Linked DNA regions of Oryctolagus cuniculus. The protein of the gene in region 2 binds, or shares a complex with, the protein of the main gene of each other region. Links are inferred from orthologs where the notes say so. Each region holds a gene or a part of one and is shown on either strand. Other genes may lie near its edges.

What was found.
Region 1: the proteins of CMKLR1 (region 2) and GNAI1 are in contact, whole or in part, in a cryo-EM structure (PDB 8SG1), measured with the Homo sapiens proteins. The link is inferred for Oryctolagus cuniculus from reciprocal best matches to the Homo sapiens genes CMKLR1 and GNAI1. Residues at the interface, in NP_001135815.1 of Homo sapiens: Asn74, Phe78, Arg137, Ser140, Val141, Pro144, Val145, Ser147, Gln148, Asn149, His150, Arg151, Ser152, Val153, Ile243, Lys246, Leu247, Leu252, Ala253, Lys254, Lys257, Pro258, Ile261, Ile262, Met319, Gln321; in NP_002060.4 of Homo sapiens: Glu28, Ala31, Arg32, Val34, Lys192, Asp193, Leu194, Asp315, Phe336, Thr340, Asp341, Ile343, Ile344, Lys345, Asn347, Leu348, Lys349, Asp350, Cys351, Gly352, Leu353, Phe354.
Region 3: the proteins of CMKLR1 (region 2) and RARRES2 are in contact, whole or in part, in a cryo-EM structure (PDB 8ZJG), measured with the Homo sapiens proteins. The link is inferred for Oryctolagus cuniculus from reciprocal best matches to the Homo sapiens genes CMKLR1 and RARRES2. Residues at the interface, in NP_001135815.1 of Homo sapiens: Asp20, Tyr21, Leu22, Asp23, Ser24, Ile25, Val26, Val27, Leu28, Phe88, Leu92, His95, Tyr103, His104, Asn116, Leu119, Ile120, Met123, Arg178, Leu183, His184, Gly185, Lys186, Ser188, Cys189, Phe190, Asn191, Trp203, Thr205, His217; in NP_002880.1 of Homo sapiens: Leu34, Phe37, His38, Phe60, Thr75, Ser76, Cys77, Arg96, Leu111, Gly112, Arg113, Leu114, Val115, His116, Cys117, Pro118, Ile119, Thr133, Leu136, Arg137, Gln139, Arg140, His146, Ser147, Phe148, Tyr149, Phe150, Pro151, Gly152, Gln153.

The regions. Positions count from the first base shown.
Region 1 is NC_091434.1:144,874,714-144,878,358, reverse strand, and holds part of GNAI1 (guanine nucleotide-binding protein G(i) subunit alpha-1), read right to left. Parts: intron 2,885-3,645; coding exon 2,842-2,884; intron 2,755-2,841; coding exon 2,613-2,754; intron 1-2,612. UniProt on the Homo sapiens protein: Guanine nucleotide-binding proteins (G proteins) function as transducers downstream of G protein-coupled receptors (GPCRs) in numerous signaling cascades.
Region 2 is NC_091452.1:17,522,788-17,525,696, reverse strand, and holds the end of CMKLR1 (chemerin-like receptor 1), read left to right. Parts: coding exon 1-159; 3' UTR 160-2,304; downstream 2,305-2,909. UniProt on the Homo sapiens protein: Receptor for the chemoattractant adipokine chemerin/RARRES2 and for the omega-3 fatty acid derived molecule resolvin E1.
Region 3 is NC_091438.1:23,677,292-23,681,490, reverse strand, and holds the start of RARRES2 (retinoic acid receptor responder protein 2), read right to left. Parts: upstream 2,946-4,199; 5' UTR 2,721-2,945; intron 2,714-2,720; exon of another isoform or gene 2,371-2,713; 5' UTR 2,306-2,370; intron 2,024-2,305; 5' UTR 1,948-2,023; intron 1,571-1,947; 5' UTR 1,547-1,570; coding exon 1,373-1,546; intron 1,150-1,372; coding exon 1,045-1,149; intron 185-1,044; coding exon 89-184; intron 1-88. UniProt on the Homo sapiens protein: Adipocyte-secreted protein (adipokine) that regulates adipogenesis, metabolism and inflammation through activation of the chemokine-like receptor 1 (CMKLR1). Also acts as a ligand for CMKLR2.

The DNA.
Region 1 (3,645 bases), on a different chromosome or scaffold from region 2:
GCTGGAGAGGATGTGGGGCAAAAGGAACACTAACCCACTGTTGGTGGGAATGCAAACTGGTCAAGCCACTATGGAAGTCAGTCTGGAGATTCCTCAGGAACCTGAATATAACCCTACCATACAACCCAGCCATCCACTCCTTGGAATTTACCCACAGAAAATTAAATTGGCAAACAAAAAAGCTGTCTGCACCTTAATGTTTATTGCAGCTCAATTCACAATAGCTAAGACCTGGAATCAACCTAAATGCCCATCAACAGTAGGCTGGATAAAGAAATTATGGGACATGTACTATATAGAATACTATACAGCAGTAAAAAAAAATGAAATCTGGTCACTTGCAAAAAAATGGAGGAATCTGGAAAACATCATGCTGAGTGAAATAAGCCAGTCCCAAAGGGACAAATATCATATGTTCTCCCTTATCAGTGACAACTAACTGAGCACCAAAAAGGAAACCTGTTGAAAGGAAATGGACACTATGAGAAACAGAGACTTGAGCAGCCCTTGTCCTGACTGTTGATGAACAACTTAATACTTTATCCCTCCTAGTATTTTTTTTGTTCTACTTAATAGTATTGATTGAACTCTGTAATTAACACACAATTATTCTTAGGTGTTGAAATCTAACTGAAAAGTGATCCCTGTTAAATATAAGAGTGGGAATAAGAGAGGGAGGAGATGTACAATTTGGGACATGCTCAATCTGACTTGCCCCAAATGGTAGAGTTAGAAATGTGCCAGGAGATTCCAATTCAATCCCATCAAGGTGGCATGTACCAATGCCATCTCACTAGTCCAAGTGATCAATTTCTGTTCACAATTGATCATAATGATAGGACTAAGAGTCAAAGGGATCACATAAACAAGACTAGTGTCTACTAATACTAACTGACAGAATTAAAAAGGAGAGAAAGGTCCGACATGGGAAGCGGGATACACAGCAGACTCATAGAAGGGCAGATGTCCTAAACAGTACTCTGTCCTCAGAATCATCCTTTATGACATTCAGATCTGGCTGAAGAGCCCATGAGAGTATTTTAGGAGTGGAAAGCCAAAACACTCTGGCAATGAAAGAAGGAAAGAAGGAAAGAAGGAAAGAAGGAAAGAAGGAAAGAAGGAAAGAAGGAAAGAAGGAAAGAAGGAAAGAAGGAAAGAAGGAAGGAAGGAAGGAAGGAAAGAAAGAAAGAAAGAAAGAAAGAAAGAAAGAAAGAAAGAAAGAAAGAAAGAAAGAAAGAAAGAGGAAAAAGAAAACCTAATTGAAAGATCTCTGCAAGTGAGATCCCAGTGGAAAGAACAGGCCATCAAAGAAGGAGCTACCTTTCTCTGAAGGGAGGAGAGAACTTCCACTTTGACTATGACCTTGTCTAACTAAGATCAGAGTCGACAAACTCAAAAGGCTTCCATAGCCTGGGCAACTCAGGACAAGAACCTAAGGTGATTACTGATACCATAAACAAGAGTGTCAATTTGTTAAGTCAACAACAGGAGTCACTGTGCACTTACTCCTCATGTAGGATCTCTGTCCTTAATGTGTTCTACAAAGTGAATTAATGCTATAACTAGTACTCAAACAGTACTTTACACTTTGTGTTTCTGTGTGGGTGAAAACTGTTGAAATCTTTACTTAGTATATACTAAACTGATCTTCTGTATATAAAGAGAATTGAAAATGAATCTTGATGTGAATGGAATGGGAGAGGGAGTGGGAGATGGGAGGGCTGCGGGTGGGAGGGAAGTTATGGGGGAAAAAAGTCAATGTAATCCATAAGCTGTACTTTGGAAATTTATATTTGTTAAATAAAAGTTAAAAAAAATTTATGACAGTTATTTTAATAAAAAATCAAGGGAAAATGAACCATACACTGATAACAGCCTTGAAGCTAATAGATTAAGCAAGCAAAAGCAGGCGGGGTGGTGAAAGAAGAAAAACAAACTGTCATAGGCAAGGACCAGGGCCATTTCCAGTGAAACTGGAACCAAGTCTCCGAGCCAAACAAGGACGCCCAGCTCGAGCTCCTGGTGCACACCAGCAGCATGGCACTCTCTGTCACCTAATTTCCTTGGTTCCCATTTTATTACCTGGTAAAATAACGAAGTGGGACCAGCTTGTCTCCAACAGTCCTCTTCAGCTCTAAAACTCTGACAAATGCTTCTAATAGTCAGCATGTCCCTTCTCTGATGATCAGCAAACTTTTACACTGTGTCTATCATTTGCAATTAGATTGTTTTTTTCAAAAAATTATTCTGGCATGATTACAAATAATTAGATCAGGTCAGTATTCCAAATTAAAAAAAACATGTTGAGAATTGCTGGTGTAAGCCATTTACCCCATTCACTACTAAAAACAGTCATGGAGAGAGAGAGATACCCACTGTTTATACAACTGCAGTTACTGTTCAATTGTCTATGCCATGGGATGGATGAGGAGAGTATAGCTATAAAGGGGAGTTCACACAGCCCTGTATATTATTCTTCCACTCACTTCTAGAGCTCTGGCTCACTTCCCTCATTCCTGCCATCCTGACTCCCATGATGAGTCCAGACAAGCCTTTGTCACATGGTATTGTGCAATCAGGCAAGTTACTCATGAGGCCTGCTCATCTCTTACCGCCCGAGCTGAGTCGCCGAAGTCTACCTTCAGCCTCCCCATGGCCCTGATGATAGCGATAATGGACTGGATGGTGTTGCTGTAGACCACGGCTTTGTACTGTTTACACTCCTCTTCCGAGTAGCCGGCTTCATGGATGATTCTAACCAGTGGACAAGGAAAACAAGACACTGACTTCCTTTGACAAGAGATGACACTTGAACAAATTTAATATTTTCAATTTACTTACTTCATCTGCTTCACAATTGTGCTTTTCCCGGATTCACCAGCACCTAAAAAAAGACCAAATCAAATCAAATCAGGGATTTCGGACTTCAGGATTATCACATGTATCTGACTTCCAACACACACACACACACACACACACACACACTCTCTCTCTCTCTCTCTCTCTTGTTTCTTACAACTGAATTGTTTTCTATTAAAAGGAGATAAAAGCAGTAAAAATGTCGGATGAGCAAATCTAAAGATCTAATGTATAAAATGAGGACTATAGTTAATAATACTGTGCTGTATGGGGCTGGCCTTGTGGCATAGTGGGTAAAGCAGCTGTCTGCAGTGCCGGCATCCCATATGGACACCATTTTGTGTTCCAGCTGCTCCACTTGAGATCCAGCTTCCTGCTAATGACCCAGGAAAGCAGCAGAAGATGGAGCAAGTGCTTGGATCCCTGCGCCCATGTAGGAGACCTAGAAGAAGCTCCTGGCTACTGGCTTCAGCCTGTCCGAGAACTGGCCGTTGTAGCCATCTGGGGAGTGAACCAGCGGATGAAAGATTCTCTCTTTCTCTCTTGCGTTTCTACCTTTCTCTGTGTGACTCTGACTTTTGAATAAATAAATATTTTTAAAAATACTGTGTTGCTGGGGCTGGTGCCATGCATGGCTCACTTGGTTAATCCTCCGCTTGTGGCGCCGGCATCCCATGTGGGCGCTGGGTTCTAGTCTCGATTGCTCCTCTTCCAGTCCAGCTCTCTGCTGTGGCCTGGAAAGGCAGTGGAGGATGGCCCAGGTGCTTGGGCCCCTGCGCCCACATG
Region 2 (2,909 bases):
GACTTCAAGAAGTTCAAGGTGACCCTCTTCTCCCGCCTGGTCAATGCCCTCAGCGAAGACACCGGCCACTCCTCCTTCCCCAGCCACAGGAGCTTCACCAAGATGTCGTCCGTGAACGAGAGGACATCGATGAACGAGAGGGAGACCAGCATGCTTTGAGCCTCGCCCGGGGGGCGCCCACCTCCCCTCATCCCCCAGGGACAGAAGACCAAGGCAAGAACCTCTTCAGCACCCTGAGTGCCCACTGCATTTTGCCTGGGGGAGGGCGGTGTTTAGAACTGGGGATCCAGGGCTTGGATGGAACAGTGGGAGAGTCTGCCATGACACAGCCTTGGACCCGCAACCGGTGCTTCTTGGGAGACCTGCCTTGACCAACTCAAAGCCAACGGAAGGATGCGTTCTGAAAAAAGGAGCTGTCAGGACTTCGACCGGGGTGGGCAAGAGGCAGGTGGATTTAGCTCCCTACTGTGTGTGCCCCAGAGATGACTCAAACGACCTCCGAGGTCCATTCCTGGTGTGGGCAGGGAGGTCAGAGGAAGCCCAGTGCCAGGCCAATCCCACCTTGCCCACCTCCACGGATGTCAGCCATCGTCAATCATTAGCCAGAAGTCCCGCCCCTCGAGGCCTTCCTCTGGGTGGAAATGCACAGGTTGCCTGGGAGAGGAAGGTGGCACAATTTAACCCTTGAACTCCTGGGACTATGGCTTCCATGTGGGCCCTTTGCAAGTTCCCGGCACGGGGGTCAGTGAGGGCTGCGGGCCTCGGAGAAGGAATGGGACAGGAGGGGCAAAGACCCCTTCGAAGGAGGCAGACGTGGAGCAGCTGGGGCGATGGTGCTTTCAACTGCAGGATTTTAGGGGTGTGGGGGTGCCAGCCCCCAGCCCTAGCCCCTGCTCTCACCCAGCATTTGTTACCTGGCAGTGGGGCCATGGTGGGGGGGTACACCTGCAGCTCCCGCCCTCTTGCTGGGATTCTTCCCTCCTCCTCTAATCCACTCAGCTTGCAGCATCACCCTTCGGGGTGGGGGCAGGAGGGGTGGGACTGGAGACTGGTCCCACGTGCAGCTTCAGGGAGCAACCTCGGCGGCCTCCCAGGCAGAGGAGGAGGTCCCAGGACTCAGCACGGCATTCCGAGCAGAGCCTGCGGCGACTCCGGGAATGGTGGCTCCTGCAATGCAGACCGCAGACACGGCCTGTGTGCACCTGCGTGGCACCACTGTCCTCACCCGGCACCGGCACCTGCCGAGGGTGTCACTGCCGAGGCCCAGCCGGGGCGGGGAGGAAAGTTGCCCAGCATCCCACACAGCTGGTCAGTGGCAGAGACCAGATCCAGCCCTGGCTCTGTCTGGCTACATTCTTCTATGGAGAATTTTCTAGACTGGAGAGTGACAGCACTTTCTATGTTAAGCACTTTACACGTGTTATCTCATTTATTCCTCCCAGCAACCCCCCGTTAGGTACAAGTCTCACTCCCCTTTTACTGACAAGGAACCCGGGGCTCAGAGAGGCTAAGTAACTTACCCAGAAGCGCCCAGCTGGTCTCTGCCAGAGCCCAGATTTGAGTCTCCGTCTGCCAGGCAGCGTCAGGAAGGAAACTGGGGAGACCGGGGCTTAGTCTGAAGCAGATGAACGTGGCCTCTAAGAAGCTTTGTGAATTGTTTCCAGAAGACCTGACATGGGCAGCCCGCAAACAGCTCCACCTCCTGCACCTGCTGAGAGCAGGCTGGGGCAGGGGGCCTGGCGGGAGGCAGCCCCTGTGTGCCCTCGGCCCCGTGGTCTCAACGCGCCCACACCCTGGTCTCTACCCGTGAAGCCACTTCTCCAGCGAGACGCAGGGAGCATCGGTCACGGAGGCCCGGCGCTGGGCTCCTGGACTCACATCTTGTGAAGACACAGCTGTTCCTCTGTCCTTGGCTCTGGATGCACCTGACGAGGTGGCTCTGAAGTGACCCCACACTGAGGCCTCCGGCTGCCTCCCGGGATCTGAACTTGGAATAGCCCCGGGACCCAGCGTCCCCTGTCATCGCCATCCCCAAGTTTCCTGATGCAGCAGCCGAGGCCCGGACAGCGTGGGCTTTGTCCCAGGTCCCAGCGCAGTCCGCAGAGGCGCACGTCCTCCCAGGCCCTGGGGTGGGGCTCTGCCTGGCCAGCCTGAGGGAGCCAGGAATCTTGTTATCAGCAGAAGCGAACGTCAGGCCGGCTGTTTTCCCCCTCGGAGCCAGGCCTGGCTGGTTCTGGCCGCCCCGGGTCTTCCCGGTCTGAGTGTAGCTTCCTGTCCAGTACATAAACGTAACCATGACCTCCACTTTGCTCTCGACCCCACTGCTGCCTGTGCGCGTCTCCACGGGGTGCGCCCCAGAGTTCATTGCAGGGAAGAATTAAAAGGCAGGTTTGTTTGGCTGCAAATCCATTTTGAAAGCCACACATAGTTTTTTCATAATATGCATTTCCATGACTTTTTATTTTTTGAAGCCTTGCATGGATTTCAAACATTTTCCCAGTAAGACAAGCTTATCTTTTTTAAAGCCATTTATTTATTTATTTGAAAGGCAGAGTTACAGAGAGAGAGAGAGAGAGAGTCTTCCATCCACTGGTTCACTCCCCAGTTGGCCTCAATGGCCAGAGCTGCACTGATCTGATGCCAGGAGCCAGGAGCTTCTTCTGGTCTCCCACGTGGGTGCAGGGACCCAAGGACTTGGGCATCTTCCACTGCTTTCCCAGGCCATAGCAGAGAGCTGGACCAGAAGTGGAGCAGCTGGGACTCAAAACAGTGCCCATATGGGATGCCAGCACTGCAGGTGGCAGCTTTACCTGCTACGCCACTGTGTCAGCCTCAAGCTTATCTCTTAATCCCATTTCCCCACAAACCTTTCAAAGCACCCTGGCACATAACCTGCAGTTTTCAAGAAG
Region 3 (4,199 bases), on a different chromosome or scaffold from region 2:
CTTTGCCCCGGTTTTCCCCCTATCTCCCTCCAGTCAGCCTCTCCTGCAGGCCCTGTCTCTGTCCATCTTTTCAGCCCCCTCTTCTCACCCTTCGGATCTGTGTCTGGATGGGGCAGTGCACCATCCTGCCCAGCACTTTATCTTCAGGATCCAGTTTGATGCAGGCCAGGCATTTCCGCTTCCTCTGCCGGGGGGGGGGGGGGGGGGGGCGCATGGGATGAGGAGAGGAAACTAGTGAGAGAGACAGGCAGCACTCCAAGGATGGAAGCTGGGGGCTGCCCACAAAGGAGGCCGGCTCCCCTGGCAGGCCCTGGTGTGGAGGGGCAAGAGGCCTGGGAAATCTCAGAAAGCAAGCAATCCTACAGTTTTCAAACTATGGAACTTTAATGTGTGTAGGCAGGAATCGTTCCATACAAGTGTATTTGCACACATGTGTGTGTGTGCGTGCGAGCATGTGAAGGCAAGAATTGTCCCCAGATGGGCTCTCTCCATCTGACTTCCACTAGAACTACTCTGCTGCTACCTGTTTGCATTTCCTCGTGCGGTGTCATTGGAACCAACACCCTGGAACTTTTGAGAAAATCTACAGAAGGAGCTGAGGTCTTCATGGGACTTACAAAGCCCGGGCCTGTGGCTCAGAGAGTGGGAACCAGAACCCAGAAAGCTACACTCCAGCCCAGGGAGGGTTCCCACAGTTGCAGATGTGCCCTAAGGTGGCTATTGACAGTTGAGGCTGGCTGTGAATCTGCCCAGGCCAGGGCCATCTCCACCTGCTGGCCTGGGTGTCAATCAAACCTTATGCCAGGGGCTGCTTCTGCCAGTGACCTAGGCCTGAGAGGCACTCAGAGGTGGACCTCACCATGATGAAGACGAGTCCTCAGGGTCACCCAGCTCTCTCCCTGTCCACCCTCAGCCACAGGATGAGCCCCTTCTGTTTTTAGGGAGGCTCCTCACAGCAGGGTCTCCCACCTGTAGCCTCACTCAATCTCCTGGTTCCGCACACTCACACCCAATATGTGGTCCGAGACACGCAGCTTCACTCACCCCATTGGGCTTCACTTTGCATTCGGGTTTCTTCCAGTCCTTCTTCCGGCAATTCGTCTGCTGAAGCTTAAATTCCAGTCTCACAAAGGTTCCAGCTGGGAAGGGCTGTGGACGGACAGACAAGCAAGAACAAGACAGGAAGTCCAGAAGCCAGCAGAGTGGGCAGAGCGGCTCTGGATGTGAGATACACACACAGTGAAAAGTACAGTGGAGGAGGTGGCAAGCTGGGGGCTCACAGAGCCCAAGCAGTTCTGTGCCCACTTCCTGGGTGCTTTATGGTCTCCCAACGTCAGATCTCCCCATTCCCTGCCAGGGCCATGCTCCTAACCGTGTCCACGGCACTGTCCACACCAGTCTCCTGGAAGGCCCACTGCACAGGCGGGTGCTTGTGGAATTCCTCCAAGGCCACCTGCAGGCCCCGCTGCTGAGCCCTGGTGAGCTCAGTACTGCTTACACCCACCACGCCCAGCCACAGGGCCACCGGGATCAGCAGCCGCCGCATGGCTTCACCTCCGTCTCCCTGGCCCTGCAAAGCAGTGTGTGCCGTCCTCAGCCTTGGTGCCAGCTAGGGAGTCACTTCCTCCCCTGGCCTACCCCTCTGGGAGCCATGCCTGCAGAGCTGTGGGCAGAGGTGGAGGAACGGGGCACTGGCTCTTTGCCGGAATGGCCCTTTCATTCACACCCCCCTCCACCCCCCCACCCCCGCGCGCCCCTTCCCGGCACTGTTCCCTGGGGCCAGCAAAGTTTTAGCCAAGTTCTCTGCCAAGAGCCTGGGAAGCAGTCCTTCTGCCCATCGGTCTCCTTCACTTCTTTCCCCCTCCCCACTGGGGGTCTGATTCCCTGCCCTCTGCTGTTCACAGAGCCCCTCTCTGCTTCCTCCCCCCACCTCAGCCCGCAGCTCACCGCTTGTCCCTCCCAAGTTTCGAATCTCCTGGCTCCTACCCTCACCGGGAGGCCGACAGCAGGGGAAGAGCAAGGGCTGGAGAATGAATATTTTTGGGAGGACGTAAACACATTGGGAAAGGAGTGTGCGCCCAGGGCGCGGGGAACTGCGGGGTGCTTAACCCTCCTGGCGCTGGCCTTGCCCCTTGCCATCAACACCACCCCTGAGTCCAGAAGGCGGGCGGCTCACCCGGGCCGGGCCCCCCCTTGCCTTGTTCTGAGGCCGGCCAGTACTCTTCGCCCCCCCTTCGGATCCTGTCCCCTAGTTCACGGTTAGGGCTGCCTGAGGGGGTGACATCGCCTAGAGCCCTGCCCGTACCGGTGGTCTTGGGACCAGAAAGCCACAGATGAGGAAGCTGAGGCCGCCTCCGTGAAAAGCTGTGGCTGCAAAGCAAGGGCTTTACCGTAATCGGACCCCGGAGCCGTTCCTCCGCCGCCCGCTCTCCTCCCGTCCTCACCTCCCTCACGGAGCCTTCGGGGTCTCTCCCCGCCCTCCCGCGGGACTCTTGGCCTCGGCTGTCAGCCCTCCCGTCTCCTCGCCCCTCCCTCCGCCCCGCAATCCCACCTTCTGGCCCCTCCAGCAACTGCGGCTCCTCCCACCCGGGCGGGGCCCCTTTCCAGCCCGCCCAGCTCCCTTCGGGCTGGGTCGCGCAGCTGGACCCTGACCGCGGGCCTGGCGGCGCACCCGGTCAATCAGGCCACCCAGGGAGCACGCCCGGCCCAGCCCAGCCCACCTCGTTCCCAACCCGCCCGGCTTAGGGGCCAAGCCTTGCACGGTCTCTCAGGGCCGGGCCCCTGCTCCCTGCAGGTCTTTCCGTGTCCTGCCCAGGTAGGACTGCGTTTCCTTGGGTCCTTCTGCAGTGCCTTCCCGGAAACAGACTCCCTCAAAGCAGAGGAGCACTTCAGGGGCCCTTGGGGTTCTTGCCCTGGCCTCCCGCGCCCTAAACCGCACGGAGGAGGACGGTTCTTCCTTCTAGGCTGCCCCTGGTGTCTGATAGCCTCTGTCCCTCGCAGAGACGCCCAGTCTGGATGCTGCCTGCGCCTTCCCTGGCCCACTGCTCATGTCCCATCCTTGGCGACAGTAGCCTCGGGGGCCTCCTTTGGGGTGTTGGGAGCCTTCAGGGATGGTGGAATGGCATGCTGGGGGAGACTCGGAGAAGACTGTCCACGTGTGAGCCCAGCTGCTGGAACTAAGCCTGCAGAAGCTCTGGGACTCTGCCTGTCACAGCAGCCGCCGTTTATGGAGTTCCCAGCCCCGCGCTAATCACCGGAAACACAGGCTCTTGCTTAACTTCCTGAATCTATCTGAGCTTTTATCTGTAAAATGAAGATCACAAGCCTTAGCCTAAAGGGTTGCATTGATGATTAAATGGGGAAACGTGGAAAGTGACTGAGGATGCCCAGTGTGGAGCACACCCGTGCTTGTCCCGTCCCTGCCCACCCCCTGGTGGCAGTCCCAACCAATGAGCTTTGGCAAACAAAATATAATTCATTGTCTTTTATTTCTTTCAACAGTTCCTTGAACTGGCAATAATTCATAGCATTTGCACTTAAACCCAGAATAGCTTTAACAACTGCATTTATGATACTTGGAGAATCTGTTCAGACAACAAATGACTTCACTGTGTACTACGCAGTGGAATGAAGTGACATGGAAAGCATCAAAATTAGTTTATTTAAAATGTATGAGGGGGCCAGTGCTGTGACATAGAGGATAAAGTCACTGCCTGTGGTGCTTGCATTCCATATGGGTGCTGGTTCAAGTTCTGGCTGTTCTACTTCTGATCCAGCTCTCTGCTAATGCACCTGGGAGAACAGCTGATGGCCCAAGTCCCTGGGCTCCTGCACTGACATGGGAGACCCAGAAGAAGCCCCTGGCTCCTGGTTTCAGATCAGTCCAGCTCTGGCAGTTGTGGCCATTTGGGGAAGTGAACCAGTGGATGGATGGTCTCTCTCCCTCTCTCTGTAACTCTGCCTTTCAAATAAATAAATCAATCTTAAAAAAAAATGAGAATACTTCAAAAAGTTCCTGAAAATGGAATATTTTTAAAAAATATTTATTTATTTATTTGAGAAGCAAAGTTACAGAAAGAGGTAGAGAGAGAGAGAGAGAAATATCTTCCATCTGCTGGTTAACTCCCCAGATGGCTGCAAAAGCCAGGGCTGGGCCAGGACAAAGCCAGGAGCCAGGAACTCCATCTAGGATTCCTTTG